Styela clava: one gene and its partners. The main gene of each other region encodes a partner of the protein of the gene in region 2 in a complex. Links are inferred from orthologs where the notes say so. Each region holds a gene or a part of one and is shown on either strand. Other genes may lie near its edges. The genes, in order: vesicle-associated membrane protein 7-like, syntaxin-5-like, BET1-like protein and syntaxin-18-like.

Region 1 (7,267 bases), on a different chromosome or scaffold from region 2:
CACAATGTAACTTCATTATTTCTATATTATAGTACTGATAAAAAATACCCCTCGATTTGAGATATTGAAAATGGGCAACAGATTTTGGAATTTATACATCCCTGTATTAAATAAGCAGCCTTGAAGAATTTAGTTTTAATTTACAGCAGAGAATTTCCACAAAAAAAAAATTCCTTGTATATCATGAATTTTTAACGAATTGAAGTCAACACTGATTGTTCATGACACTAAAGAAAGATGATTAATTTGCAGTGAACACTTAACGAAAAAAGATTGAACTTGCGATTTGAGAATTTCAAATTTTCAACAACTTCAATAAAATAAAATCTAATTTATATCAGAGTCTGATGCCTCTCAGTAAACCTTTTTTGAGCATTTAGATTACCTGTCTCATTCAAATAAGCATTAGTATGAATTTTGGTTCAAATCATTTACATTTATACCATATCTACTAAAACCCATTATAAGATAACTAAGGCACAAATAAAGAGTATTACAAAATGCTACAACACTTGTATTAATAATTTAACTTAATGGATTTAAAAAGAAGAATTTTAGCACAGTCGCACAGCTTTCAAAAAAAACTTCTATGACATATCTCAGGGGTGACCAACAGGACGATTGCCACGTCTTGAGTTGTCGACCGTGCTTATCAACATGCCTGCAAGGAATATGTGTTTAACCAATATCCAAGCATCACTCATTTAAACATGAACATTATTAAGCAGCAGGTTCTTGTGTGGTATCTGTCAAAACTGAGCCCACCATACCAGAGCAATCCCGCACGGGCTTTTTTAAGAATCTGGGGGTGAACAGGGTTCCAGTCTAGGCAGGGGATAATTAGGATGGCTATATCCACAAGCAGCTCTAGTGTCTGGTGTTCAGGGATTTGAAGCGGAACATCCTTATTGAGGTTCAGTTCTAAATTTAGTACTCGTTCATTTTTGTGTGTGACTTTATTATCCATCAGTCAATCGCAAGATATTGTGAAAAATTAAGTCAATCTCAGTCAAAGACAGGTTGGCCCCCCCTGGCATAACTGCAGACATATTCATTTATAAAACAGTCAAGTGAGATAAACAATGCTATGTTTCAAGCGCATGAGAGCAATTCAGAGGAGTCCAAACAATTCAGAGTATATGAAATTCACAAATGAATATATTTCCGAAATCCCAGAATCATCAAAATTGGGGCTTTATATGGTAATTTTACACAGTTTTGAATAGTCATTCATGTTAGTAGAATATGTCCATTCGTGGAAATTCGATTTAAAAAGGGTTGTCAAGTTATATTTATTTATCATATGATCACTGGACAGAAAAAATATACAGCTAATGGAGTGAAAATGAGACATAACAAAAGGACACAACTAAAAACTATCATACCCTAAAATACAACAAAACAAACTTATCAAAAATATGAAGGATTATCATTTCCTGAACTTTTAAAATAAACTTTCTGTCATGCATTGTGCCAAGAGTCTAATTATCGTTGCACCACTGCTTACTTTACACATGAAACACAATATCAATTTTTGTGGAGATAGTTGCGTGCAAGGGTTGTTCAAATACATTGAAACAGATTGAACAGACCAATGCAATGAATTAACAGTAAATATTAGACTAGGTATGGTAAATGGGGAATACCTAATCAGCCACAGTTTCTAGCATGATTTATTTATTCGTCCAACATGAAACCATAATGACAATTCAGGTTGATGAAAAAATATAATACAATAAGAGCTACTCAAGGCAAGTGAATGAAACTCATCAAAAAAAATAACATGTACGACTAACGAATATCCAGTATTTAACAGAACCAAATTGATAAGTGTTTCCCAATATATGCTTGTACATTAACGAAGTCAGGAAATGACTCATTGGTGAAAATCATTGAAGAATAACCGTATTTGTTAAGTAAAACTCATACTCCAAATCTGCCTTTTAATAGTTTGACGGCACTTTTGTATCACTCAAAAACTATAAATGAAAAAGTCCGCTCTAGCAGAGGTATTGAACAAACTTAGAGAATTCACCAATTCATAGGTTCAGTTTATAACCACTATTTTCAGCTTAATGCACAACACAAAACTAGAACCATTATCAAAAAACAAAAATTTGACTTCAAAATGCATGAAAAAAAAATAACCCAAATCACTAATACCAAACTTTGGCAAACTATATGACAAACTCACTACACGAATCATCAAATAATAAATTCAATCAATTCTTGAACCATTATTAGATTTCCCCACGCACTTTGGCCAACTTAGTCCTCCACAACCCGCAGAAACCAAAAAATATATGACTATTATTGCAACAACAATCAGGACGATTGTTATTTTAACATTTTTCCAAAATAGCTTCCTAGCTAGGTTAGTGCTTTGTTTTTTGAAAGTGACAGATGATTGGCTAAGATCTTCTGTTTTATCCACAAGTAGATTGAGATTTTCTCCGCGTTCTGTTATGCTATCAATATTTTTCACCATTATACCCTTTAATTCATCAAGCTGATCGTTGACTTGTTTTACTTTTGAAATCTCGGGGGATTCCACGACAGGTTTGGAATACTTTTGCATTTGAGACCACAGTTCCCGCGAAAATTCATTATCCATCGCATATGGTAAAGCTGTCAAAGCAAGATCTCCATAGTTTCTCTGAAACTTTCTTTTTATTTCTCCCAGAAATTGGAACGCCTTCGAGCGCTCAAATTCATCTTCTGTTATGGCGTAATATACAATTCCATTTTCTCTTACATAATGAAATAAATAATTTCCTTGCGAATATGTCATTTTTGTATCCTTGTCTGGAATCTTTTTCAGTATCTGGTCCGTGACTTCGTCAAAATTGCCAGCACAACTTGCGCATTTGGCAAGAATTGTCGTCTCACGAGCGACAACAACATATAAAAGAGCCATACTTATTTTAGATAGACTAGTGAGCTAGACCATGCCCAATATAATTCTGTAAAGTTTCAAATTTTTCATTTAGCATTATAGTTTGATGTAAGACTGAATACGATAACTCAATCTCCTAATTAAACAAAAAAAAACTTTTCATAAGTACGGTATACCGGGTACAAACTTATTAATAATGTGCCAGGCTCTATTGCTGTGATTGGATATTTTATTTATTGTCCCAGCAAATTTCAGTACCAGGTACCAAGTCAATTCGACTCACTGCTGCTTCTATCACAGTATCTTTTTTTTTTTTTTTTTTTTTTTTTTTTTTTCTATAAAATTGAGATGGTATTTTTGAATAATAGGTTATCAGTAATAGGTTGCGCGAAAACAGCACAATGTGCCATGTGGTATAAAATTTAAAATATAAATTAAAAAGGAGTGAAAAAGATTTTGTTTCCACAAACAATGTTAATATTACAAAATAATACAAAACAATATTCAGTAATTGCAAAGCAATTTAAACATTGTTTTGTGCAGGCCAGTACTGCAGTATGACCATCGAAGGTCACTATGGCTGCTGCGCGTTTTTGTGCACTATGACTGTATGAGTAAACTGACAAAATTGGTTGCGACAATATAGCTAAATGGAAAGATGAGAAAATAGCCAGAGATAATTTTTATTCGACCATTTTACATCTTATAACTATGCAACTTGACTCGGCGTAAAATTTTTTCATAATATACTGTTACTGTTATATGGATATTTAGTATGTTATTGATCACCATAAAATAACCGACTCAATGTAGAGGGCCTAATCAATAAAAAAGCACATATTACTGTACTAAATAACACAAATGACATTAAATTATTATCAATTTCAGAAGTTAGACAACACTTTCAGACTTAACAGTAAATATTCTTCAAGAAAAAAACATTCATTATACTCATTCAGAGGCTATTATTATATAATATACCGGTACCTTATATCTGCATGAAATGACTGAATGATAAAACGCCTTTTCTCAGCAATAAAACTAAAAGGCGCGTTATCAACGTCTAAGCCCATCGAATGACAATTCGGGAACAACAGCCACGATATCTTTTTTTTTTTTTTTTTTTTTTTATTTATAAAAACAGTCAATATTATCAATACTAGTCAATCTTAAAAATGTACTATCAAAAGCTATGACATTACCGACTTTTCTAACAAGTTTTCAATTCTTCCATCCTCCAAAAAGCTATTTTTCATATTTGATGCCATATTTTTCAGCATCCCTCTAATTTTACATTTAAAAATTATTCTCATAACTGATTGGAAATTATCCAAATCTTCAAATATTATTTGATTCCTGAATTCCCAAATAGCTGCCTTTCCACATGCAACTATCATAATAACTGACAGGTCACATGTATTTTGTGCAATAATGGTATCAATATTATTTTCACTAAAATGCAACTCGCACCAATCCCAAAATATTTTAACATAATAGCATTCAAAAAATAGATGTTTACAGTCTTCAATGATATTAATATTGCACAACACACAGTGACCATCATCATATTCTGTCCAATGCCTTGTTCTATTTCCAGTAGGTAATGCCATATGAATTATTTTCCAACATAAAACTTGTACAATTTTAGATATTCCATGAACCCAAATGTTATTCCAATCAATATCAAATTCCAGTCCATAATATTCCTTAATTGATAAACCTTTTTGTTTTGTCACTTCCATTATCTTTTTACTTATAATTTGATTATACATATATTTCGTGGTTGGAAGTTTTTCAAATGAATATATTGAACTGGAATCTGTTTGAACATTACTTTGACTATTCAACACATTAGCCCATCCTGATGGTATGGCTTTTAAAATTTGTACAGAATCTTTTACTACTTTCCTATAACAATCAAGTTTTTTATTTTCACGCATACTACTCCATTTGTTTATGCCCCAAATTTTGATTGCTATTTCAAGACAGTCATATTGGAACAGATGGCCAAATGTTAAAATGTTTCCTCTTATCCAATTATTTATAAATTCTGGTTGATTCAACCATGTTAAGGCTGGATTCCACCATATGTATTGATCATATATTTGTTGTTTAGTGGTAATTTGTTTCGTTTTTACATCAAGTTCCTTGAATATGTTGACCGAATTTATATAAAACTTAGGAATGTTATTATTCCTTAAAATTTTCAAAGAGAGATGTAGTATTTCTAAATTTGTCACTGTTATTTTAGGATGGTATCTATTTATAAATTGTTTCGCTCTCTTTGCCCAAGGAGCCTCATCACTTTTTAATAATTTCCAAATCCATCTAACTTGTAGACTTTTAATCTGACTACACAGATCCATGGCCTTCAGACCTCCTTCAACTTTCCTTGCACAGCAGACTCTCCTCTCTACCGTGGGTTGTTTGTTGTTCCATACAAAATCCCATACTAGGGTCTCAATTGTTTTAATGATATCATTTGGAATTGTTATTACAGCCGCAAGATACCACAATTTAGATAATAATAGACTTTTAGTAATCAGTATTTTCCCTTGCATGCTCATAGTTCGAGCTCTCCATATATTCACTACTCTTTTGATTTTTTCTATAATTGGATTCCAGTTTTGTTGCGTCGTGTCATTGTTGCCGATCCAGACACCAAGGACACATAAACTATCCCTTTTTAATGCTATACCTTGAAACTATCACAGTATCAACAAGTCCCGTCCAACTTGTCATCATAGATTTCGTGCGTAAAGCGCTGCTGCAATGCAGTAATGCGACCCGCAATATCCATAATGCTGACTGGCTGAAGTGCGCTGTTGATAAAGAGGCCTAATTGTTGATAACGGGACATTCCTAATGCGACCTTACTGTGCGCAATGCGATGCTCCTCGAACGACCAAAGGCTATACCGGTATGCTACAGTACCGGTAGTCTATTATTTGATATGAGAAATATGGCTAACGCTTATACCGGTATACGGGGCATTTATAACATAAAGGGTTAGTGTGTATATACTAAGGTAAGGTTCTACGCAGATTCATTCTTGTGGAAGCTATTTCATACAAAATTACATTTTCGCAAACTTACATACAGTCGAAGTAGCCTACACCAAGAGGCGGAGGGAAATACTTTCACATGTATAAGTATAAGTTTATTTCGGGTCTCAATAATCAGCAAAACAATAAAATGATTGGTAAAAAAAATAAATAAAAACTGATTATGAAATCAGGAGAGCAAACAAAACCTTAGATAAGGTTTAAAACGTACAGAATGTATACAAGATGGCAGGTTTTGCCAAGAAGAAGTGGTACGTGTTCACTCACCTAAAATAATGAAAATATTTCACACACGCACCCACACACACAACCAGAAGTTATAAATTAAGAAGTTATAAATTACATACGGGTAGTTCAAAAATAAAATAAAAATTACTTGCCATACCATATTAATAAATTTATAACGTTTGCCACTGCCGAATTGATAGATTTTATAAATGGGAGTGAACAGTAGAGATAAACTTTTATGAAAAATATATTGCCAAGCCAACGACTAACATACCAAGCTGTGCCAAGCTGATTATAGTTGGAGCAATGACATTAAACAACATGATGCGCCACTCCGCCATTTTTGGCCGAAGATCGTGTCCGATAGCACGCTCCAATGCACATACTTGACGAGACGAAAACGAGCGGATGTGTGCTGCTTTCAAGGAATAGCACGAATGGTGTTCGTGCCTGCTTTGACAGTTGTTGTCGATTTTAATGATATTTTGTAAAGTTGAGGTAGAAAGAAATTGAAAAAAGGTAAGGTAAATACTATTGTTGTATATCACACCCGGGCATCGCACTGTTTAGTACATGTGGGAAAGCCAGCTTTTGTCAAATACTACGAAGTTATTAATTCAGTACGGTACGTAGTTGTCCATTTGCCGAAATTGCATATTTACTTACCCCTTATGGTTTCAAATAGTTCATGCACCTCCAGTTAGATTTTTTATTCAGTGAGGATATATACTCATTTCTGTAACATACTATTGCTCAATAACTTTTATTTGCGTATTGAATCAAAGGGTTAACAAGTTCACCTAACATTTTACTCATACCGGTCTATATTGTATAGTCTGATCTCTCAAGTATAAGAATGCTTGTAATTTTCTGACTAAACCCTTTTATTAGTTGGTTTATATACCAAATTCAGTAAAACATATTTTACATAGACATGGGATATTGGATTTATTAGCTTTCCCATTCTAAATCATATAGACTGCTTTATTCATTCTTAACGAAAATTAATAAATCTCCTCTCTTTCTTCAGATGTGAATGTTGTGGAAAAACCTGTCTAGCATTGTGAGACTCCTGCAG
Region 2 (7,853 bases):
TACTTGAGGCACATGTTCTTGGTTGAAAGATTGGAAAACCAAAAGAAACAGCTTAATTAATGTGAAACGTACATATATCAATTCATATTTTAACATACTTGTTGATCAAGCAGTTGCATTGTATCTTGTGAAGTTGATGGCGATGAACCATCCATTGATATTGAAACATCTCCAGAAGAATTCCTTTGTTCATCCATTATTAAAACTGAACCTCCTAAAACAACACAGTCATGGTAATAACAATACGAAATATAGAGTGCTGTTGAAATAAACAGGTAGGTCTGTTTCTATACCTAAAAGTGCCATATATATCCATCAAAACAAATTTTGTAATTGTCAACTTACGATTCCCCTGCATAGCAGATGGCGGCATACTTGATGATAAATTAGTAGTACTGAACTGATCTTTACGCAATTTCTGTTGCTTCATATTTTCACGTCGAACTTCAAGGACAGATTTGAAATTATCAGACATTGAAGCAAGTTTGGACTGAAATGAATAATATTTAATTTCAGCTATCTTGTTTCATATAGCTACAACAATAACGTTGAAAAATTTCAATAAAATTGACATAAAACTCACCCTTAATGTGCGAACAATAGATGACGAATGTTTTTGAATATCTTTATGGCCACTAGACCTTGCAGAAACTACCTGCTCCAGTTGAGCAATTTGTTTCTTCAACGAAGTGATGTCTTGTTTAATAATATATGTCAACTCCTGGATTTCAACAGGTCGATCATCGAACAGTGAACGTTTTTTACATACTATAAAAAAGAAGTAACCGATGAGAAATATTTTTTATCAAGTCTCATAACGACTATATGAAAATATATCATATAAACAAAAATCCAATTACTATTTTTCAAAAAATAAGAATTTGAGTAAAATAAAAAATTCGGCAATAGTGATTATGATGAAGTAGTCAACTAAAATAAAAACAAATCAAAAGATATGCATAACATAATAACATAATATGACTTTTGATTTACCAGACACAATCAGTATAAATTTCATACTTACACAAAGTTAGTTTTTCTAATTTTTCATATGTCTTACTTATATCTCTGCCAATTCGCCTGAATAAAAATATGCAATATGTATTTCTGCCACTTACTTGACGACAATTATTAAATCAATTAAATAACTGTGCTCTATGCATATTCATTGCTTTCATCAACAGTTAATTTATAACTTAAATGGGGTATATATTATATATATATAACAATTCAACAAATCTAATTCCACAATAAAACAAATAGAGAAGCATTAAACTGAAAAACAAATAGTTAGTGAAGTACTGCAAAGTATAGAACAGCATTGAATGCTGCAAAGTAAAGAACAGCATTGACACTTCTGATATAATGTAATTTAATTTTTTCTCCAAGGAAAAAGTTGTCTGAAATTACTTTATTGCAGTATACTAGAAATATTCAGAGTATTTCGAAATCAAAAATCATATATATTGAAAAGTGCGTTAAGTACATATTATGCTTACTTGGCAAATGTAGAAAATTCACTTCTATTTTTCAGAGCATTGTTTTGTGCTTTATGTGGAACCCCACCATTAGACTGAAAATACAATAACGTACATAGAATTCATAAAAATATGTACACATAGAGCAAATATGGGTCAAGGTACAACACAGCTCTGTCACATTTAACAAAATTTGAATGTATGGCAATATGATCCTCTGCCAAACTGCGAAATAACGAGTCAATGTCTTATACCATCACATGACATTCTATATTAGGCAAATATTAATTTGATATGGAAATTCCTCATGATTTTCAAGTAAATTTAATATTTGGTTCTTGAATACCTGTCTCGATTTTAATGACTTCACAACAGATTGAAATTCTACAGTCCGGTCGCGGCACGCGGAATTCATGCTTGTCATTAAATCTGCTGATTGGCTTGAATTGTCTTCTTCCAATTGACCAGAAGAAACCTCGTTACTTTCAGTTCCGTTGAAAAGTATTCTCGTTGATGAGAGTGAAGGAAGTTGTGAAAAAGACCAACCACCTGTGAATATAATGGATTTCTGTACAACTGTACAGTACTTTTCGATATGTCAGAATTTGCAACGCAAGCTGATTCGTCAAATAAAGTTCTTCTATATTGGTCATATGGTCAATGCAACCGCCATGATCAAAGTTTCAGTCAGTTGGGATATCATCATACAAACAGCTGGTACAAAAATTAAGAACACATCAATACTGCAATACAAGTGTATAGTCTTTTCGAAATAGTGTTCTTTACACAGATTTGTCAATCCATCTCTCTGTATTGCAATCAGGCAGTAGAATAGTGTCTTGTTTCTTAGCTACATAGCAGTTCCACAATAAAAAATCAGCAACAAGTTTAATACAGCTCTGATAATACTGTAATAACAGAATAACCAAACAACAAATGCTCTAGTTTTCAGCAGCTTTGTCAATAAGTGACAAAGTGTTTGGCGCTATTAATGAAAAAACTGAAGAATGAGCTTCGATAAAACTTTTTGATTATCTTAACTGCCATATGCTAATCAATTAAACATTTCAGCTTTATTAATTTTTAATTAAATTAATAAATACAGAAATATAATTTAATCCAGTACCGGTAATCCAGTAATCACAGAAGTTCAAGCAGATATTTGAAAGAATACGGTATTATTTATCTGAGTGGTACCCAGACCGTGGCATTCAGAGTGTATAAAGGTATAGTTCAGAAAGGTCTGAAGGTAGTTTCAAATAAACGCGAATTACGGTACGGTACGGTACGGTACCGGTACCGGTAGTGAATTAACTGAAGCCATTTACAGATTTCACTACAGCACTAACCTGAAGGTGAGCTTTTTTCATGAGATCCGATTCTTCGCCTGGTAATCATCTAGTCATATGACTTCCAATAAAACATGGGATACAGTTTCTAAGACTCGAAGACAAATTTGCGTAAATCCTACGATAAAAAGTTCTGTACCGTAACACAGAAGCAACCTATTGTATAAAAGCTGACGAGGTGTCTTTTCTCATTTTCATGCATGGCCGATTTCCACGCAAGTTGATTAACGTCACTGTCTGTAGTGCACGGAAACAAGAAGGAAGATGACAGAAAACCCAATTCATTAAAATGAATGAAAAGGTAAATACTGTAAATTGCTTACTACCTATTATATATAATAGGTATATATATATTCAATTGTTCGAACATGGATTAACTCCCGGAACAACTGCCTGATAAAAATAGAAATGCCTAGTTGGTGGTTGATAGGATTTACATAGGCTATTTATTCCGTGAAGGGGAAAAGTCGATAAGACGGCTTGCTCATATTGCGAACCGCGGCTTCTCTTCTGTTTCCCAGTCCTCATTGGGTATGATTTTGCCTGTTATCTTTGACTCGGTGGTTAATAATACCTATGCTATTATCCATTATTGTAATTAGGTGATCAGTCGAGCTATATTTGGATTCTCCCTACCTTTTAATTTCCTGTAGTGTTATATACTGTGCCCTGTATGTACACAGAGATTTTCTGATTTGCTGTATAGTTAAAATAATGGCCAACATGTGAATGCTTAGTGTGGTTTGATCGACATCAAATGTTTTTGCATGGCTTGTGAACAATCTCTTGTGTCCCAACTACAATCTCCTCTTTCTCAGGTCTTTCAACTAGTAGTCTAATGATAAATTATTAATATTGGTCAATATTTATTCAAATCAACAATATCTTCTCAAAAATGTAGGGTAGTTTTCTATTGTTTCCTTATTTGCAATCATTGAATATTGTACTCGCAGATATATTTTTCGTTTTTCATAACGTCGTGATGATCGATTTAAAAGGTCGCTAATTCAACATAAAATGTGTATACCACTATACATTAACAATATTGCAGACTGATGGATCATCTTTGATGAACTTGAACTGACCCCAGTGATCAACAACCTCAATTAAATTTCCTTGCCTATAATCCATGACCTTAAAAAATCTCACTTGAACCTTTAATAACCTATATATTGCTGTAACCGATTTTCCTATCTCGATATCATACTGCCTTAAAATTAATTTTAATTATAATTACCGGTACTTTTATTGATTAATAGTATTTAAAGTGATTTGGACGTTAGTTTGGCTTTCAATTTGGTGAGGCTTAGCCCATCCCTTCATGCATCCAACTTAAAATTCTGATTGGGCAATTTGGCATTAGGTGACTCCAAATATAATCAGCTTGACGATATCTTTTGAGGAATTTTTTTTTATCCACAATGTATAACTCATGTTGGCAAGCCTCATAAAATTATTATTATAGTTTGGCAAAAAAAAAATTTTCATGATTTTCATTTAGTTATTTCGTTTGTATATTTTTCTTTTTTACTGAGTAATTCACTAATACTTTTGGGTGAGCGAACACGTGCTATTTCCTTTATCAATACCTTTTCTTTAAAATTTGTACGTTCCAAACCTTACTAGAGGTTTTGTTTGCTTTCCCAATTCTATAATAAGTTAATAATAATAAGTTTTTATCAATTACATTATCGTCTATTATGCTGATTATGGAGTCGAAATAAACTCATACTTACCTGCGAACCCACGCATGTGTATTGCTGACGAGAGATTTGCATTGAAACATTGAATATATTAATTTTTGAATCGCATCTGCACAACAAACATTTTGGGGACATCGGACAATCACTTAAAATGAAATTATCATATCCAGTGCCAACATGTTTATTAAATGTAAGACAGAGAAACGGAGGCAGTGACTACGGGATGCGAGCATCGATACCTTAACAAGCAAAGTCAGCAATGATGCAAAGGTGATGAACTTCTAGTGCTTTGTGTATTGACCATAAGTTCTCACAATAATGTAAAAAAATATGTAAAAGGCTAGCATAAGTTTTTGCTGGTTCTTGGTTTATATGTAGCTCCTCGTATATATTTGTTGGTTGGACGTCATTTGGTTAACTGTAAAGTTCTTTGTGGCCACTAGGACCAAAATCGCGTCAGATCTAAACCTGGTAATTCGTCAGTGCCAATATCGATTTCATCGCATCTCTCGTCTGGTAATCAGTTCGTGTCAACAGTTAGCGCAACTAACCTATGCCTCGCGCTAATTTTAGGGTTAGTCCATTAAATGTACCCAATATAAATTACCACCTTGTATAATTTTATAATGATAACTGAATGAATTCGCTACTCGCAAAGTTAATTTTACGACCGACCATCATTGGCAAATGCTCAGGATTACAAGGATTGCCAAGAAAAATAGCAGCTAATCACTTAATGTTATGATTCGCGTATTTTGGCACAGGTCCCGTCACATAACTTCTACTTGTTTTTTAACTCTTCACCACTTTCGCTCATCAAAATTATTTATACCTTCACAAGTAAGCTTCGCCCATGAATTTTATTTTCTCGAGTTTATTTATGGCATTTATTTTTTTCAGTATGATTGTCGCGATGTTTTTTCCACTTGTGTGGGTGAATGGGCATAAATGCCGGCCGGTTACAGCGTTCGCTATAAACCTTTCTGGAGGTTTTTCCCATTTGCCCCGTTGTCTGTGTTTTTATTTTTCCATTAGTGTTCGGTGTTGCAGACGAAAAATCGAGATAAAATTGTATTGTAATTCATTTCTCACCACAAAATCTTAGTTTTTGATTATTATTCTCATTTCCGACCGCCATCAATGGGTTTATATATATACGAAATACCTCAGTGAATAATTAGTTTATCCACTTGTAATCGGTACTTCAGACAAAGCTTTCTGCGCCATGACCACTGTTTTCGATCGTACATACCTTCACAATCACGTATTGTTCATTTACGAAATTCTGTTCACACCACCATGACACAAGCCCATATATATATGCAAAAGCCACACCTTTCACACCAATTCATAAGACTACTCATTTTACCACTTTTTTTGTTGCACATAACATCATATATTACAATTGCACATTTAAAAATGAATGATTGAATCAGTACCACACAATCCAAATATTTTTGACAAATAAAACAATTTTAATCAAAGCCATTTACTGATATCTCCGAGAGAAATGCATACATATGTAACAGTTGATGGCATAAATTAATTGATTGTAAGTAAACCGAAATACAGCCACTCACAGCTAATCAAATTAGACAGCATGATCAAGTTATCTATCCCCCAAACATTGAAATTTATCACTCAGAAATTGGCTTATGTAATGTCCAAACAATAGTTTGTCCAATGCCGCTTGTATTTATTACAGAATATCCCAACTTTTCCAATTTGTTCAATACAATTCGAGGAGGGTCAGAGACTGTGTATTCTTTGCTAAAACAATTCAAAACAATAAAACATTAAAAAATGTGGTATGTTGCATGTAACATGGCATAAAGAATCAAGACAAACAGGTTGCAACTAAACAGAATGCAAGTTGTTGGTAACCTATGCGATGGCACAAAATAGTATATTATTCTACTATTCTATCCAGTGGGATTACCAGTAGCATTATCTTCTGTATTAACTCAGATCCAATTTTGCAAGTTAGCAAACAACATCACTGTGACATACATATCAAAATTTTTTTTACTGCAGTATCAGAAAAATTCAAAGAATATAAAACTAGCATGGAACAAATAACTATCCATTCTGACAGACAGTTTCTCATTGAATAAAAAAGGTACAAATCGAAAACATCCATAACAAGATTAGCTCACAAAGGACATCCTTTCTGTTGCCCCAACACAGCACCTATCTTCGTCATCAAGTCTGGATCAGACTGTTCATCTCCAACAATTGTCGGTCCAATTTCCTAAAACAACCAAGAAGTGAGATTTATTGATTTTAATTAGACTAAAGTTAACTATTATTCATATCTAACACAAGAAATTAAATATATTTTGCTTAACCATGTCATTAATCAAGACAAGAAATAAAAGAATTCAACAACAATTTCTCAGATTTAGGTTTGCATAATCACACAACAGACCATAAAACTGTATTTCCCAAACACAAAATATTGTTTAAGTGCAATTGAACCCACTATACCCTTAGATGCCTGACTGGCTTCTAATGCCTAGTTCATAATTGAAATAAATTTTTATTTTTTCAAATTTTTGTGGAAAAGTTAATGTTGTTTATATGCGTCTTAAACTAATATTGTGGGATTTATTTTTCATTTTGATTAAGACTAAATCATATTCTAAATTGGGCAAAGAAATCATATTTTCAAAATTTCTACTGAAACTGTTTTTTTCCTGGATTTTATTTCATATTTCAGTATCAGGAGATTTTATACAATACGATAAGTGATCAAAAACATTATGGTTAATAGATGATACTTACTAATCGAACCAGTGTGCTCACTAACAAATACGGCATTTATTTCACTGCAGTCTACTACAAGTCTGCAAATGAGGGAATGTTTTTATTAGTTAAAAGTGCAGACTCATTAGGTCATGGGCCATCAGAGCCTGAGACGATTCACTGAGCTCGGTCTCACTGGCAGAGTGGTTGGTGGTTAGTTGAATGCGAGTCTAGGGGTCTGAGTCATTTCATTTACTGATTTAGATGACTAGAGTCTTTGGTAAAAGATTCTCATGTTACGGGGTTATTATGTACAAAAGCGAGGAAGCTAACAAGTCAGCAAGTAGACCACACTTCTTACAGCTGTACAGTGACTTGTCAGACTGTCTAAGGACCCACCGACTCAGGCCAACCACGATTTATTACCTGGCAGCCTGGAGCAAAAAGGCATGCCTATTCTATTACAGTACCGTATTATAGAAGACTAATATATGAATATGTCAAATCCTGTACAGTACCGCACCATATACAGTAATAATATCCAGAATAGAACACCGGTAGGTACCGGTACTACTAAT
Region 3 (7,518 bases), on a different chromosome or scaffold from region 2:
TAATTTGAATTTGGGAATGCTGAAAATTTGAAGCAAGCAGTGATTTATTTAATGCAGGGAGGAAGCAGTGAAATATGTAAATCCTATCCTATATTTTTAACTGTTTGAAAAAATTAAATAAAAGCGTTTTTGATCATACTTGTGTGGGACTTAATTTGCATTTCAAAATGATAATTATTAATCAAATGAAACTATTTGGTGTTATTCCATCCAAAAGCATAAATTTCTATTCCCAATATTGAATACAATTAATTTCTATTAATTCAAAGATTGGATTAATTTTGGACATCCCTGCTTGGAATAATTTTTATAAACTTCAACTTTCCCTTGTTAAAGTGAAATAATGATCCAATAACATGTAAAGAGTTGATAAAAAATATTAGATGACAATAGACTAAATATTTCCATCAAGAATAGGTTACCGTAGTTTTCACTTGTGGAGAAAAATATAAACAAGTGCTAATTCACAGGTATGGGAAAATGTTAAAATAAAACAAAAATATATATTTAAACAGTGAACATAATCCAAAATGTTATTGTTTGAAGAGTATAACCTCGCAAGTCAGTTCAGCTTCGATATAATTGAATAGGATGACAAAATATGAATATAGTCATTGCTTTGATAAACGGTTTCTAATTATAGCACCAAGCATACACTAGTTTGATCATATTTATATTACAAAATTTAAATATAAAAACAATTAATTGAGGAAACTTTTATGAGAAACACTTACCACACCATCCAAATACTTATTCTGATCATCGACATCATCTCTCACATCTAAGCTTATCTAGAATGGAGATGTTGTATAAAGAAAAAAGTGCTGTCAAATAAATGACTGAAATTATAAAAAAAATAACACAAAATTGTAACTAAAAAATATAGAACTCATAAAATAAATTGGAATTGTCACACAGCTAGTTAAAAACTAAGTTGTATATATATTTAAAAAATATTTATCATAGAGCTCAATAGCAATTGATACAGAAGATAATTAAATTAGGAAGGACAAAATAATTTTAATCCAATAATTAATAAATTCTTTAAAATCAATCACATATCCCAGAAACATAGTTAAGTTCTAAGTTTTAACCACGAACACTGTGGTGTCAATCATTGCACCTATCTTTGTTAACACAAGATTATTTATTGATAGCAGGCAAGTGTTGGATCTGTTTAATTATATGTAGAATAATTTTCTTCAGTAATTTGGTTATATCATTAATAATCTGAGTTATGCATTGACAGCATTGTATTTTATTACTTATACCATTTTTAATCTGGACACTTTAGAAGCGAGTTGATCAGCAAGGCGATCATTTTCTGACTCCATAATTTGTTCTGTTCCGGACGTTGTCCCACCTGTAAATAAATGATAGAAACTTGAATTGAAAAACTAATAACTGTTGTATTTTGGTTCAACTGATATACAGCATACAAATATTAAATTATATTAATGGCCCGAAAATATACAAGAGCATAAAAACTAGTCAACATATAAGAGAGATTGATTTATCGATACATTCTTTAATTTAAGAACAGACTTAGGTTTTGAAGAAAAAACAGATTCAACTGAAATTCGCTGTTTCCAAAATAACGTGTTCACTTAATATTAGTAAATATGATTTGTAATAAAACGCTGCCATGAATATTTCAGGAGTTAGGATTTAACTGCCTTTGAAATTCAAACGAAACATTATATTCATCTGCATTTTTCCTTTCATGTGCGAACATGAGGAAGCTTCTAATTCCTGTGGATGATAAAACACATAACTATTGTGTTAATTTGACAGCCAACTTCACCAAAATCTAGTCTAGTTTATTACAATTCAACCTCAAATTAATAACGAAAGATGTGCATGTGTTATGTGCTTACAAAAATGAAAATATGTACATCGCATATACACTATTCAGGTTATTCCGGAAATAGCTTGTATGTTGGTATGTGTGAACCACAGCCTTCCATGCGTTGGCATCACTGGTCAGATATGGGTGGGTCTGGTATAGTTTAGTACCAAATGCACTAGTTGGCCTGGCTCAATATTTTTTGCATATGTCATTCCTAATTCCACCTGACTATGTCAAAAAATCACATCATTGCGATGTCACAGTGGAGTAATAAGGCCGAACAAAGTATGTGGATAGTCGTTCAAAACGCGCAGACAATCACCCAAAACTGAGCAAGCTATCTCTCTCTTTTTCTCGTCGCAACGATCACGATACAAGAGAGAACGCCGGCATTTATAAGTTCGTTATCGGCGTCGCAGATTCCATTTCAGGCAATCCTGCAATCCTAACTAAACTTTGGAAAGCTCTATGACATGATTGTGATGCCGTAGTGACGTAATTTTTTGATGACATAGTCTGGTGGGGGTTAGGAATAACATATGCAAAATTCGTTATGCTACGCCCACTGGAATTACTTGTGGTACTAAACTATACTAGACCCGGTATAGGCTGGTTTAATGTTTCAGATGCATGGAGTTTGATTATCGAGAAAGCTGTAATTAAGTTACCCATGCCCATTTTTAACATGCTTTAGAACTGTAGAATGAAATCTACTGTATTTAAGATATTTTTTAAGGAGCTCTGCTCAAAGCAAATTCAGAAGGTCGCGATAACTCACTGCGAAATTAAGGAGAATGATCCCAGAGCAAAGCTAAGAGCAACAACTCAAATACCAAGGGCTACCGGTACCGGTACAATACCGGTACTGTGTACGGTAATGCGCTAGGATTTACCGTACATCTGTACATACGGTACCGAATATATTTATCATTGCCTATACCGACATGTGTCCTTCATGAATTCAAAATGGAAATAGCCCATAACCAAACTAGTGGATTTACCTGAATTTCGATTCCAGTGAGACATCTTGCTGGATGCACGCACTTCAAGAAACTCCAAACAACAAAACGAAGCAACAAACGATTGACGACGTGTATCCTCTTCACTATTCGCTAGATGGCATTCTTGTTTTGTTCAAATATCAGTGACCCATAACCGCGCATGTGAGACTGTGAGCCACTGGGAACATGATTTTTGCAATGGTAAAGTAAAGAGAGAGCCCAAGGTTTAACGTAACATACATGACCATACTTTTACTAGATAAAAATAGGATTCGATTAAAACAATCTCGAATAGCGTCTTGCCCAAAGAAGAGGGTCTGGCCCAGTGGCGTAGCCAGCCCAAAATTTTGGGGGGGGGGCCAAATTCGAAAATTTTAGAAATTATATTGGGTTTAAAACACCCGTTCTTCAAGCGCAAAACAACAACAGTTGGTCAACAAGCAAACTGATTCAATTACTCAGCTGGATTTTTGTGAATACGAAATCCATTAATAAACAATTTTTTATTTGAAACAACAAATATTAACAACGCAATTTGAATAAGTAAAATACATCGCCCCAATTAAAAGTCCATCCTTCGCTTCCCGCCAACTATGCTCGACACAACTCGATTAATTTTCTCCTCGGTGACCATTTCACGGTGACATTGAAGCACACACAAATCAGAAAGGCACTTGGACGTCATTGATGAGCGCAGCCATGTGTTTACCCGTTTCATGCATGAGAAAAACCGCTCAGCCTCAACGGTGGTTGCTGGTAGCGTCATAACAATCTGTATTGCGGTGTACACGCTTGGATAATCTCGAGCGCTCAGAAGAAGCCCCTCCAAACATTCGTCGTTAACGTCGGAACTTAAAGAAGTTCTCCACAGTCTCACTCCATTCTGGAGGTTATCCAATAAATACAGACGCTCTACCTCATCCACGTGAACTGGTTTGTTCGGTGGAAGAATTGATAGCAATGAAAAAAATGAAGGGTTGTCAATGAAGCGTTCCCGAATAGAGCAGCTCAAGCCGTCGACGTATGGGAGATATACGGAACGTTTAAAATACTGGGATGCTGAATCAGCACAGACATTATCGCGATAAACTTGTACTTCGACTACTCTGGGTATTGTCAACTCTTTCAAGCCAGCTATTTCACAAGCTTCTTTGTAAATATTCAATGCGATTTCAGAGTCATTGCGTTCTTCAGCGATAACGCTCTGAAGAGAGGATGTGAGGTTCTTTACTGACGGCACACTGACTCCGACCGCCTGAAGTGCGCGCGCTAGTGGCTCCATTAGTGCCGAATATCGACCAATCAAACATACGGCGTAGATAACCGACGACTTTTCTAGAGCAGATTTCAGAGAAAAAGCCTTCGTCCGCGTCTCACAGTTAGCATCTCTCGCCAAAGAATCAAGAGCCTCAAGTACTCGTTTGAAGTTGCATTTGAAGATTCGGATGCTCTTGTACTTCTCAGACCATCTGGCGGGGCAGAACAAAGGGATGTTAATTCCTAAACCCGCGCGCCTTTTAGGGCTCTCCCTGAAAAAACGAATAGTCTCACGAATGGATATCACAGGTGCTTCTGATGATTGCAACTTTACTTTGATCATTTATGATCAAATTCAAACAATGAGAAGCGCAGTGCACAAATATTGCGCGCGGGTATTTATCACGAATGCGTTTTTGCACACCGCTGACGTGACCTGCCATTGTCGTTGCACCATCATAGCCTTGCCCCACAAGTTTTTGCAAATCCACTCCTATACCAGAGAGGTGGGTCAAAATATTTGAGGAAATTGATTCGGCAGAAACAGAATCCATTTCCACTAATCCTGTGAAGCGCTCGCACACTTCACCACCTTTCACATACCTAAAAACGATGCTTAGTTGTTCTTTCCCAGAAATATCACATGATTCGTCGGCTATTACGGACACAAACGATTTATTAGCCTCCATAACGATATCTTGCACTATCATGTTGCTTGCTACCTTGAGAATTTCATTTTGTATCATCGAGCTTGTATACTTAGCGTTTCCGGCCATTCTAGCGAAATGCCTTTTCAAATCTTCATCCCCTGCCTCGATACGAAATAGAAGAAGGTTCACAAAATTTCCAATACCCCCGGAATGTCCGCGCAAGGGTATGTTACCCGAAGCACAGAACATGACAGTCTTGACAATGGAAGTCATTATTCGTCTGTTTTCTTTTGTTTGCGTAGCATATTGGGCCTCCATGTTTGCACGCACATTTTGATCAGTTTCCATGCTTTTGACAAAATATTTTTCGCAGCTATATTTGATTCTCGGTGGTAATTTGTGTCTCGGTGTGCTACAGCCTTTTCCATAAATTTTTTGTAGTCAATGCATGGTCTTGTAACAAAGGCAGTGTCCCTGAGAATTCCATGCTTCAAACGTGCTTGCATGACTATGCATATCTTACACAAACCACCCCCATCAGAGAGTTGGGTGTAAACTAACCAACTACAAAATCTGTTATCGTCAAGCCATTTTATGAGAAATTTACGACGACTTTGTCTAACAGTATCCAGAATCGTCCCGTTTTTCGGACCATCCGAAGTTAGAAGCCAGTTTCTCTCCGCATCGGTAAGCTGTGTATGTTTCTTAAGAATAAATCCAAGATCGTTTGTTTTCCCTTCGTTGATTATTAGTTCATCTTCGGGAATAGATGTGATAGACGTAACTGACGTAACCGGTGCATCAACAGCCTGAGAAGCGCTTATTGATGTATTTGAGGAAAGCGAGTCTTTATTTCGCTGAAAAAAACTATCGAATTTCGCCTGTTTAAATTTAGCCATCGAAGTAAATTGGTCATCAAAATCCAACCGTTTCGAATAAAAATCCGGCGAGAACAAATCAAGACCGAGTAACAAACCGAAAGCTTGCGAAACGGTCTTTCCCATACTGCTCATAAGAGCGAACGGTCAAGTCTTTGTGACGTAACAATGACAATCGGCAAGCGTGACGAGACAAGATGCCACAAAACTGGTGGATTAGGAATGGAATTCTTGAAAATTTTGGGGGGGGCCATGGCCCCTCTGCCCCCCCTCCCCCCTGGCTACGCCTATGGTCTGGCCAACTGGAAACTAAATTTTGTATACTACGACAATGTAATGGACCTTTCCCCGAGCACCGCCTTCCTTGTTCACTTCGTGAAATTGGCCAATCAGCAAGATGCAAAAAGTGACGTAACAATGCTACCTTCTCGCATCCGCTCAGACACTTCTTTCACTCAGATTTTTTCAGACAGATTTTCAGGCGTGGTCGTAAACATTACCTCGTTTTCGAGTTTTTGAACTCTATTCGTTAGTTTTCAGTTGTGTTACGGAAATTTAAATTAGATAATTCAATGATCACTCTGTCTTCCTATGAGTTTTAATTTGATTGCAGTAATCAAAAATCAGTGTAGAATTAGCTGTGATAGACTAGGCTAAAATTGTTTACCGGTACTTTTGAAAAACAGATTGTTGTATGCACTGAATCATAATGATGGTTTTAAACACATACCCCATTTTACAGGCGCCAACTCGCGAAACCACTCCTAAAATAAGCCCCGACAATTTTGCAATGGTAAAGTATAGGAAGAATTTTTCGGAGGTCAAAGGTCGGGGAAACGTTCATACATTTTGTGAAAATATCTTCAAATTATTTGTTAGCTTTGTACTACAAAACTCAACAACGGCCAAAGTAATTCAGCCCTTTGTTTTTAACTATGTCGTTCAGAATTACACTGATTAATATTACATGTGATTTGTATTACGCGATGTTGGTTATTTATTTACCTATCGCATTAGATGGTTCAACTACCAAGCATCGATCATGAATGATAACAGTTCTCCAACAATCAAGTTGCTAAAACTTGGCTAATGTTCATTTAGATATTTGAACCTTGGGTGTCGCTGCTTGATAACCAGCTTTGGTTCCTCGCAGCTTTCCCTCCCCAGTGAAATGTGTATTCAATATTATTTATTCGTCTTAATTTTGCATGTTAACTTTTTTTACTGTGTGGAAAAAATAAACTTGACTATGACTACTAGTAGCTTCCAGCTTCGAAAAGTGACCTGGAAATTTTTTTTTTTTGATAGTGGCCCTCTCGGAAGCTTGCAGTGAGAAAAAGTGTGTCATAAGAACTGACACAGTGAATTTTAAAAATCGTTCGGAGAATTTAAGCTGTTAAACTACATCAAATATTAGCAAGTTGGCGGCTGAGGGCCAAATCCGTCTCGTTAGATTGCCTTTAGCTTTCAACTGTAGCGTACCAGCCGTCTATGAAATAATTATCCAAGTTCAGAATATCTTCCAATATGGTCTGACGTCCAAGTTCTCTTTCAATATTCACTCCAAGTTATGCAATTTTATTCTATTTATCAATTATCAATCTTAATACAACCAAATACTCCAAAGCAACGGAAAGCATACAATAACAAGAGACCTGTGCTCAAATACATGGACACGTCACAAAGTGTCGCTATTTTTTATTCTGACACATAAAAAAAATCTCTTGAAGTCCACAGAAATTTTTGAAATAAGTAAAAGTAATAGCCTTCTGGCAAAAACATCAGTCTTTAACCACTAAAAATTTCAAAGCAATTGGTCCAGTATTCGAAGAGAAAAGCGATTTCATTATGACGAAAGAGAAGAAGAATAATAAGAACAACAA
Region 4 (6,532 bases), about 3.2 Mb from region 2:
TAATAATCAATATCTACTCGAAATAATAATTAATTCTAAACAAAAGTGTAGGGTAGTGCTGTTTCCAAATATGTAACCCTTGAATATCCTACTCGCAGATTTATTTTCTGTTTTTCAGGTCGTTCTGTGATGATCAATACAATGGCTAGTTTATTGAATATAAATAGTGTCTACAACAACAAAATTTGCAAGCTGATGTCTCATCCACGACAAACTTGAATTGACATCTATTACGCCACAATAATTAAATGAAGAAATGATCCTGTGAAATAACAATACTAATTCCTTTATTCCTAATTCCTTTATCCTTGCAGAAGTCAATATCTAAGAATGAAAAAAAAAAAACCTTATAACCTTAGCAACCAACATATTCCTATACCCTGTCTTTCTACCTTAATTAATTATAATTACTCATACTTATAAAGTTACTGATAGATTTGAATACTTATTGCAATCTGGACTATAATTTGGCAATAATAGGCTCTAGTTTGGGCAATGAAGTGATCTAGCCCAGGGGTTCTCAAACTTTTGGTGTTGCGGAGCCCTTGGAAAGGTTGACTATTATTCACGGAGCCCCAAAATAAATGTTAAAGTTGTTACTTTCAGATTAATATTCCTGAGCAAGTTAAAAGTACTTTACTTAATTTAAATGCTGAACCTTAGGGTTAATACAAGTCATACATAAATCTAAATTTCAAACATAAATTATATATACACTAAAGCTGTAAATTTGACACTTGACAAACATGTTAATAAATAAGGGGTCGAAACTTTTCCCTTTTGACATTTTTGGAAGACTTAAAAGGCCGCTAATAACGTGCGCAATTGCATTTTGTTACAATCGCCGATTTTTTTCGTCAGCATGGCGTGTCTTTGAATCTTTTAACATCTTTACGCCGGTGTTTATTCTCCCTAAATCAAAAATTTCCCTCGGCATATATATACATGTATAGTTACACAATGACGACGTTATTCGCTTTTTTGTTCTCGTGGGGAATTATGAGTTCAATGTGAAAAACATGTTACCATATTATAGTCATCGTTACGAAATGCTAAAAATAATAATTAATAAAGAGATAAATCCGCAACTCAAATTTCTTGATTGAAAAGCGGCATTCTAAAATAATAAGACTAAAACTTAAAATGGAAGATCACAGGTTTGGTTTCAGCAGACTCACCTCAGATTGAAAACGTATTTATAGACATTGTAAATCACAAAAATTGGTGTTATGTTAGGTTTTCATCGTAGTAACTGCGAAATCGAAACAGAGTCAATGGTGCGCGCGATGTACCTTTTCCCCCATTATGAAACTACCGACGGAGCCGCACGCAATCAATTGTGCGCGCTCCGCGATGTACCTTTTTTTTCATTCTGAAACTACCGACGGAGCCGAATGCAATAAAATAAATTTCAATTGTTCGTTAAATGCTCGCATCGGTCATGGATTAAATATTTTACGCAATAGAAATCTCGTTATCCGTTTTTTTTAATCGCGAAGAATGTTGCGCGGAAATTTCCGATTCCAATTTTGAACCACCACCCTCTTAATAATCCTGGCTGCGCTCCTGCTTATAAATAATGTCATTTTTTAATTCCGCCTCTTTGCCATATTTCGAGGCTATTTTGTTGTCAGATTTTATCAAAGCTGTTATTGCTTCTTATTAGAACAGTTACAAAACTAGTCAGTATTTTGAAAAGTAATCCGATAGCTCGCGGAGCCCCTGGGTTTCTCTCGCGGAGCCCTGGGGCTCCGTACGGAGCACTTTGAGAACCTATGGTCTAGCCCAGTGGTTCCCAAACTTTTCTGACCATCGCCCCCCTAAAGTAGTTTATACAACTTCATCGCCCCCCAGCACTACAAAAAAAATGTAAAGTCAGAAACGAATATATTACAGACCAAATAAGAAGACAAATCATAGTTTATAGTGTTATTTAATGAGATGAATGAGCTCGGTGTTCTTCAGCAAATTTTTTATCATATCTGAAATTACCCAGTTTACTGATGGAAAGGCGATTTCGTTGTTTTGATGACAATAGTAGCACGGCTCAAAAACCCTTTTTCACCATATAATAGGTCGGAAATGAAAGAATCCAGGGTTCTACCTCCTCAAATACCACCGTGTACTCTTGCCTTATAGCATTTCACCCCCCGTAAATTCACCCCATTTCACATTAAATTAATGAAAGCAAAGTTAATTTTCCCAAAGTTATAATAATGATTTTCGTACATCTCATTCATTCCTACAGCCTGATGACCTGCACCAAAACACTTCGGTAAAATTCATCCCCGATTCCTTATCCTACCACGGCCTACAGCCCTATCACCAGTCCATAGAATTAATCAGCTATTTGTTTTTGGATTCATGGACTCGGATGTGAAAAAAAACTGTGACCGACTATCGACTACGGCCCAGGGGTCGGCAAATTTTATGTCGCTCGCGAACTCAACTCAGTCGTCTTATCAAAAAATTATTACAATGACATTTAATGTGACACTGTCATGTTGCTGCATCACGCTTGATAGCTTTACGACGCCAAGATTGGAACATTTTCCAAATGGGCATCACTAATCCCAGTTCTTCGCTTGTTCTTTGTAATGTCTCCATTTTCGAAAAAAATTGTTCGCACAAATATGTACTCCCAAACACTCTTAAAATAAGCACCGAGAATTTTAAAATGGTAAAGTATATAGGAAGAATTTTCCGCGGGCAAAGGTCGGGGATAGGTCTATTCAGTGAATCGTCCCGGTACAGATTTTTTTACTCCGGCCGTATTTTGCCGACCACTGGGATACGCCAACTACCGTACCTTACTGCGGAGACGAGTCCAGCAATCCTTTCGAGCGTGATAATCGACCACGTGATTCAAGCCTGCGAATGCACACAGAGTACAGAATTAAGTGCACGATGCGAAGAGCAAAAACGGATTTCGCGAAATCGCCCCCCTATCGCCCCCTTCGACTTTTTCGTCCCCCTCTGTATCGTTTTCGCCCACCGGGGGGCGATATCGCCCACTTTGGGAATCACTGGTCTAGCCCACCTCTTCATGTACCCAATTCTGGCAACTTTGGTTGGGCATTTTGGCATTTGACTCCATCTATAATCAGCTTGACAATATATTTTTTTATAAAAGTTTATCTTTACTGTTCACTCCCATTTATAAAATTGATCAATTTGGCAGTGGCAATCATGATAAATTTATTAATATGGTGTGGCAAGTAATTTTTATTTATTTATTTTTTATTAACTACCAGTATGTAATTTTTCATGTTCCCTTTACTTAATAACTTCTATATGGTTGTGTGTGAGCGTGTGTGAAATGTTTCAAATATTTTAGGTGAGTGAACACGTACCACATCTTCTTGGCAAAACCTTCCATCTTATATACATTCTGTACGTTTTAAACCTTATCTAAGGTTTTGTTCGCTCTCCTGATTTCATAATCAGTTTTTATTTATTTATTTTTACCATTCATTTTATTGTTTTGCTGATTATGGAGTCGAAATAAACTCATACTTATAAATTTTGGGGGAATGTACCGGTAATGCGTTGCCTAGATATAGAAAAAATATTTGTATGGTACATCAGAGCAAGTTAAGCTTAGCATCCTAAATATTAGAAAATTTTAGGGGTACCGGTACATGAGCGATCTATAAATTGTCTAACAGGAAGTTTTGCAAAACCTGCTTGAAATGGTACAGACTTTTTGAGACCACAAACTGACAAGACTGTTTGAGTTCTGGTTTTGTTCACTTTAGGAGTTGTTAATAAATACACAATGATATTTGGGAATTTATAGATTATTTTCAAACGCCACCTCGTAATCGGAAAGATATTAGGGGTGAAAAGTCTGTAAACCCATCAAAGCATAAATGTTGAATTGAAGAAAAATCAGATCTTTGAATCATTCATTCTAGCCTCAAATAGCTGTAGTCTATTCTACTACTACTATAGTGTTCAAGAAGTCACCTAGTGGCTTCAGCATTTTTCAATCTGAATGGTCCAATGAAGTTCATATCTTCAAGACGATCTGTTCTAGTTTGTCAATCTGATTATTTTTAAGTCATTTATTTGTGAAAAAGCATGTCAAAATAGGACTTTTTGTCACATTTTTGACGTTGTTTGTTTTGGCATAGTTTTCAGGATCGATCACATCTGGACTAGATAGGAAATATCAGCATATGTTTTATAGAAACCTCTGACATTTATTTAACTAATATGTATATCTTTAACCAAATTTTATAGAGTTTTAGTTGGACAATTAAACTTGGATCATAATGCATATAAACTTCATGGATCGTACGAATGATTTTAAGAAAGCAATTCGTGATATTAGAAAAGAAAATAGTATTCTAGATAATACCGTACTGAAGAAACCATCTCTGGATTTACATGCTTATAAAAGGAGAAAATCTGATTTTAATAAGAAGGCCAATGACATTGTCCAGTCTATATCAAAATTGCGGGATTTTTTACTGCAACACCGCATTGCGTATATAAATTCTCATCAAGCAGTAGGCCTTGCGTCACAGCCAATGAGTGATCATGAAAGAGACAAAATTGATGAGGAAGCTCAGAATATTATTAAGAAATGTAATGATGCCATTACAGTGATGCAGCAAAACGTCGAACAAGACAATATATCTGATCAACAATGCACCCATAGGCAACTTGTACTTGCTTCAATACAAAATCACCTAAAGTCTGTATGTAAAATCTACAGTGAACAAAGAGCAATCAGAGTTAAATTAGTGGTTGACAAAAAACGCATTTCACGTTTGCATAATCCGGAAACACATAAGAAAGCTTTGACACAGGATCCAGATCATTCAAACAATACAGAACGTCCAGCTATAAAATTTGAAAGCAAATTCAATTATGAAGAGAGTGATGAAGATGATTTTTCTGAGACTGAAGCTGCAGCATTGGAACAAGAAAATGTTCTGTTATTCAATGACATGAATAGCATGGTTGATGAAGTGCGTGCAATCGAGGGAAAGGTTGTTGAAATTACTCGGTTACAGGAAATTTTTAGTGAACAAGTTTTGCAACAGGAAGGAGACATTGAAATAATATCAGAAAAAGTTATTGAAAGTACTGAAAATATCAAAGGTGGTAATGAGGAACTGCGGGAGGCGATAAAAAACAATGCTGGGTTCAGAGTTTGGATATTGATATTTTTATTGATGTGCTCATTCTCTCTTTTATTTCTTGAGTGGTATAGCTGATAAGGTGCGATAAATATAACTATTACTGTTCTATATTGAAAGGGGTGGTGATAAAAGTATCATTTGGCACTAAAAGGGAATCAAATACTGGAAGAAGCTGAATACAAATGTTGGTATAGGTGTAATTTTTTTAAAGCTAAATCTGATATTGAATGAAAGCGGGGCTGTGAAATCGGAAGAAATATAAACCTGACTCTGAATGCCAATACATTCAACTCCGACTCCCAACTCTGGGCTAATGAAAATTCTGCTTTGTCTCTAGGTTGAGGTGAATTTTGATGTCAGCTGGGAATCCCAAGAAAATCAAACTTTGTTGTTTGCAAGCATTCTTAAGTTATCTAGCTGCTGTGAATGCTTAGTCAACCTGAAGCTTTTTGAGTTTTGTTAGAAATTTTAACTTTGATTGTCACCATTTAATTCTGAATTTTGATTCTGTGGGTGTGCAGTTTGAAAAATGGGTATCTCAGTCGGACTCCAACAATATTGATGGACATTTAATTCCATGTTCCAGTTGTAACAATTTCATTATAAAATCATTTTATGATCTGCAATTTACACTTGTCTTTATTCTCAGTATCTGATTTCAAGGCCACTATGTTTTTCTTAAAATTTGCTGCAATATTTACAGCTTTTGTCTATGGCTTTAATATATATAGATTATAACTTTGCTAGGTAGTGTGAATGCAACTGCATTATTATTAACCACAAGAGAATTGAAAGTATATGGTGTTATTTATCCACATTGTAAAAGTTTTTTAGAGAACACTTGCGAATAAAACTGCCCATAAGAAGATAATGAATCAGCATCTGATAGTGCCTGATTTAGGTTATATTTTTAAGGTGAAGCACTTTCAAGCAATCATTAAAATGTGTTATATGTATAAGTATAAAATCAAATTTAGTGATTTTATGATTTAGCTTAGCAAAGCTGAATATACCTTAAATTGCTGCAATGCCTGGAGGTATAATGAAATTTTAAGGTTTGTAAATTTGAACCAACCACACAAATTGTGAATCAGCATGCTATGGATTATCGCACTCAATTGTGGGTATTGCTGCTGTCTAGTAAATTTATGAACTAGTTTCAGTTTCTTTACGCAAGTTGCCCGAGAGAACCAGAATACATAAAATATAGTAAGAGGCTCAAGAGTTTTACTACAAACATGCGGAAATGTGTACGAAGTTGAGTACCTCCGACATCTTTCAGATTGCGCTCATTATGATTATGAGGTGCTATCCCTGTCCATACACTAATAACACACAACAATTTTTTCCACAATTGGTTCTTTGTGCCGTAAGTGGTC

The links.
Region 1: syntaxin-5-like (region 2) and vesicle-associated membrane protein 7-like share a complex: the UniProt entries of both Homo sapiens proteins name them as parts of the SNARE complex. The link is inferred for Styela clava from reciprocal best matches to the Homo sapiens genes STX5 and VAMP7.
Region 3: syntaxin-5-like (region 2) and BET1-like protein share a complex: the UniProt entries of both Homo sapiens proteins name them as parts of the SNARE complex. The link is inferred for Styela clava from reciprocal best matches to the Homo sapiens genes STX5 and BET1L.
Region 4: syntaxin-5-like (region 2) and syntaxin-18-like share a complex: the UniProt entries of both Homo sapiens proteins name them as parts of the SNARE complex. The link is inferred for Styela clava from reciprocal best matches to the Homo sapiens genes STX5 and STX18.

Annotation. Positions count from the first base shown.
Region 1 is NC_135250.1:21,528,620-21,535,886, reverse strand, and holds the start of vesicle-associated membrane protein 7-like, read right to left. Parts: upstream 3,022-7,267; 5' UTR 2,918-3,021; coding exon 2,219-2,917; 3' UTR 1-2,218. UniProt on the Homo sapiens protein: Involved in the targeting and/or fusion of transport vesicles to their target membrane during transport of proteins from the early endosome to the lysosome. Required for heterotypic fusion of late endosomes with lysosomes and homotypic lysosomal fusion.
Region 2 is NC_135253.1:7,448,615-7,456,467, forward strand, and holds the start of syntaxin-5-like, read right to left. Parts: upstream 3,028-7,853; 5' UTR 2,877-3,027; coding exon 2,828-2,876; intron 2,028-2,827; coding exon 1,825-2,027; intron 1,574-1,824; coding exon 1,500-1,573; intron 1,081-1,499; coding exon 1,025-1,080; intron 769-1,024; coding exon 584-768; intron 491-583; coding exon 346-490; intron 215-345; coding exon 99-214; intron 1-98. Other genes in the region: GTP cyclohydrolase 1 feedback regulatory protein-like, read right to left, coding at 6,168-6,300, 6,687-6,781, 7,315-7,350. UniProt on the Homo sapiens protein: Mediates endoplasmic reticulum to Golgi transport.
Region 3 is NC_135255.1:10,596,589-10,604,106, reverse strand, and holds the start of BET1-like protein, read right to left. Parts: upstream 3,005-7,518; 5' UTR 2,876-3,004; coding exon 2,851-2,875; intron 1,364-2,850; coding exon 1,272-1,363; intron 792-1,271; coding exon 735-791; intron 1-734. UniProt on the Homo sapiens protein: Vesicle SNARE required for targeting and fusion of retrograde transport vesicles with the Golgi complex. Required for the integrity of the Golgi complex.
Region 4 is NC_135253.1:4,204,018-4,210,549, forward strand, and holds syntaxin-18-like, read left to right. Parts: upstream 1-4,033; 5' UTR 4,034-4,277; coding exon 4,278-5,228; 3' UTR 5,229-6,028; downstream 6,029-6,532. UniProt on the Homo sapiens protein: Syntaxin that may be involved in targeting and fusion of Golgi-derived retrograde transport vesicles with the ER.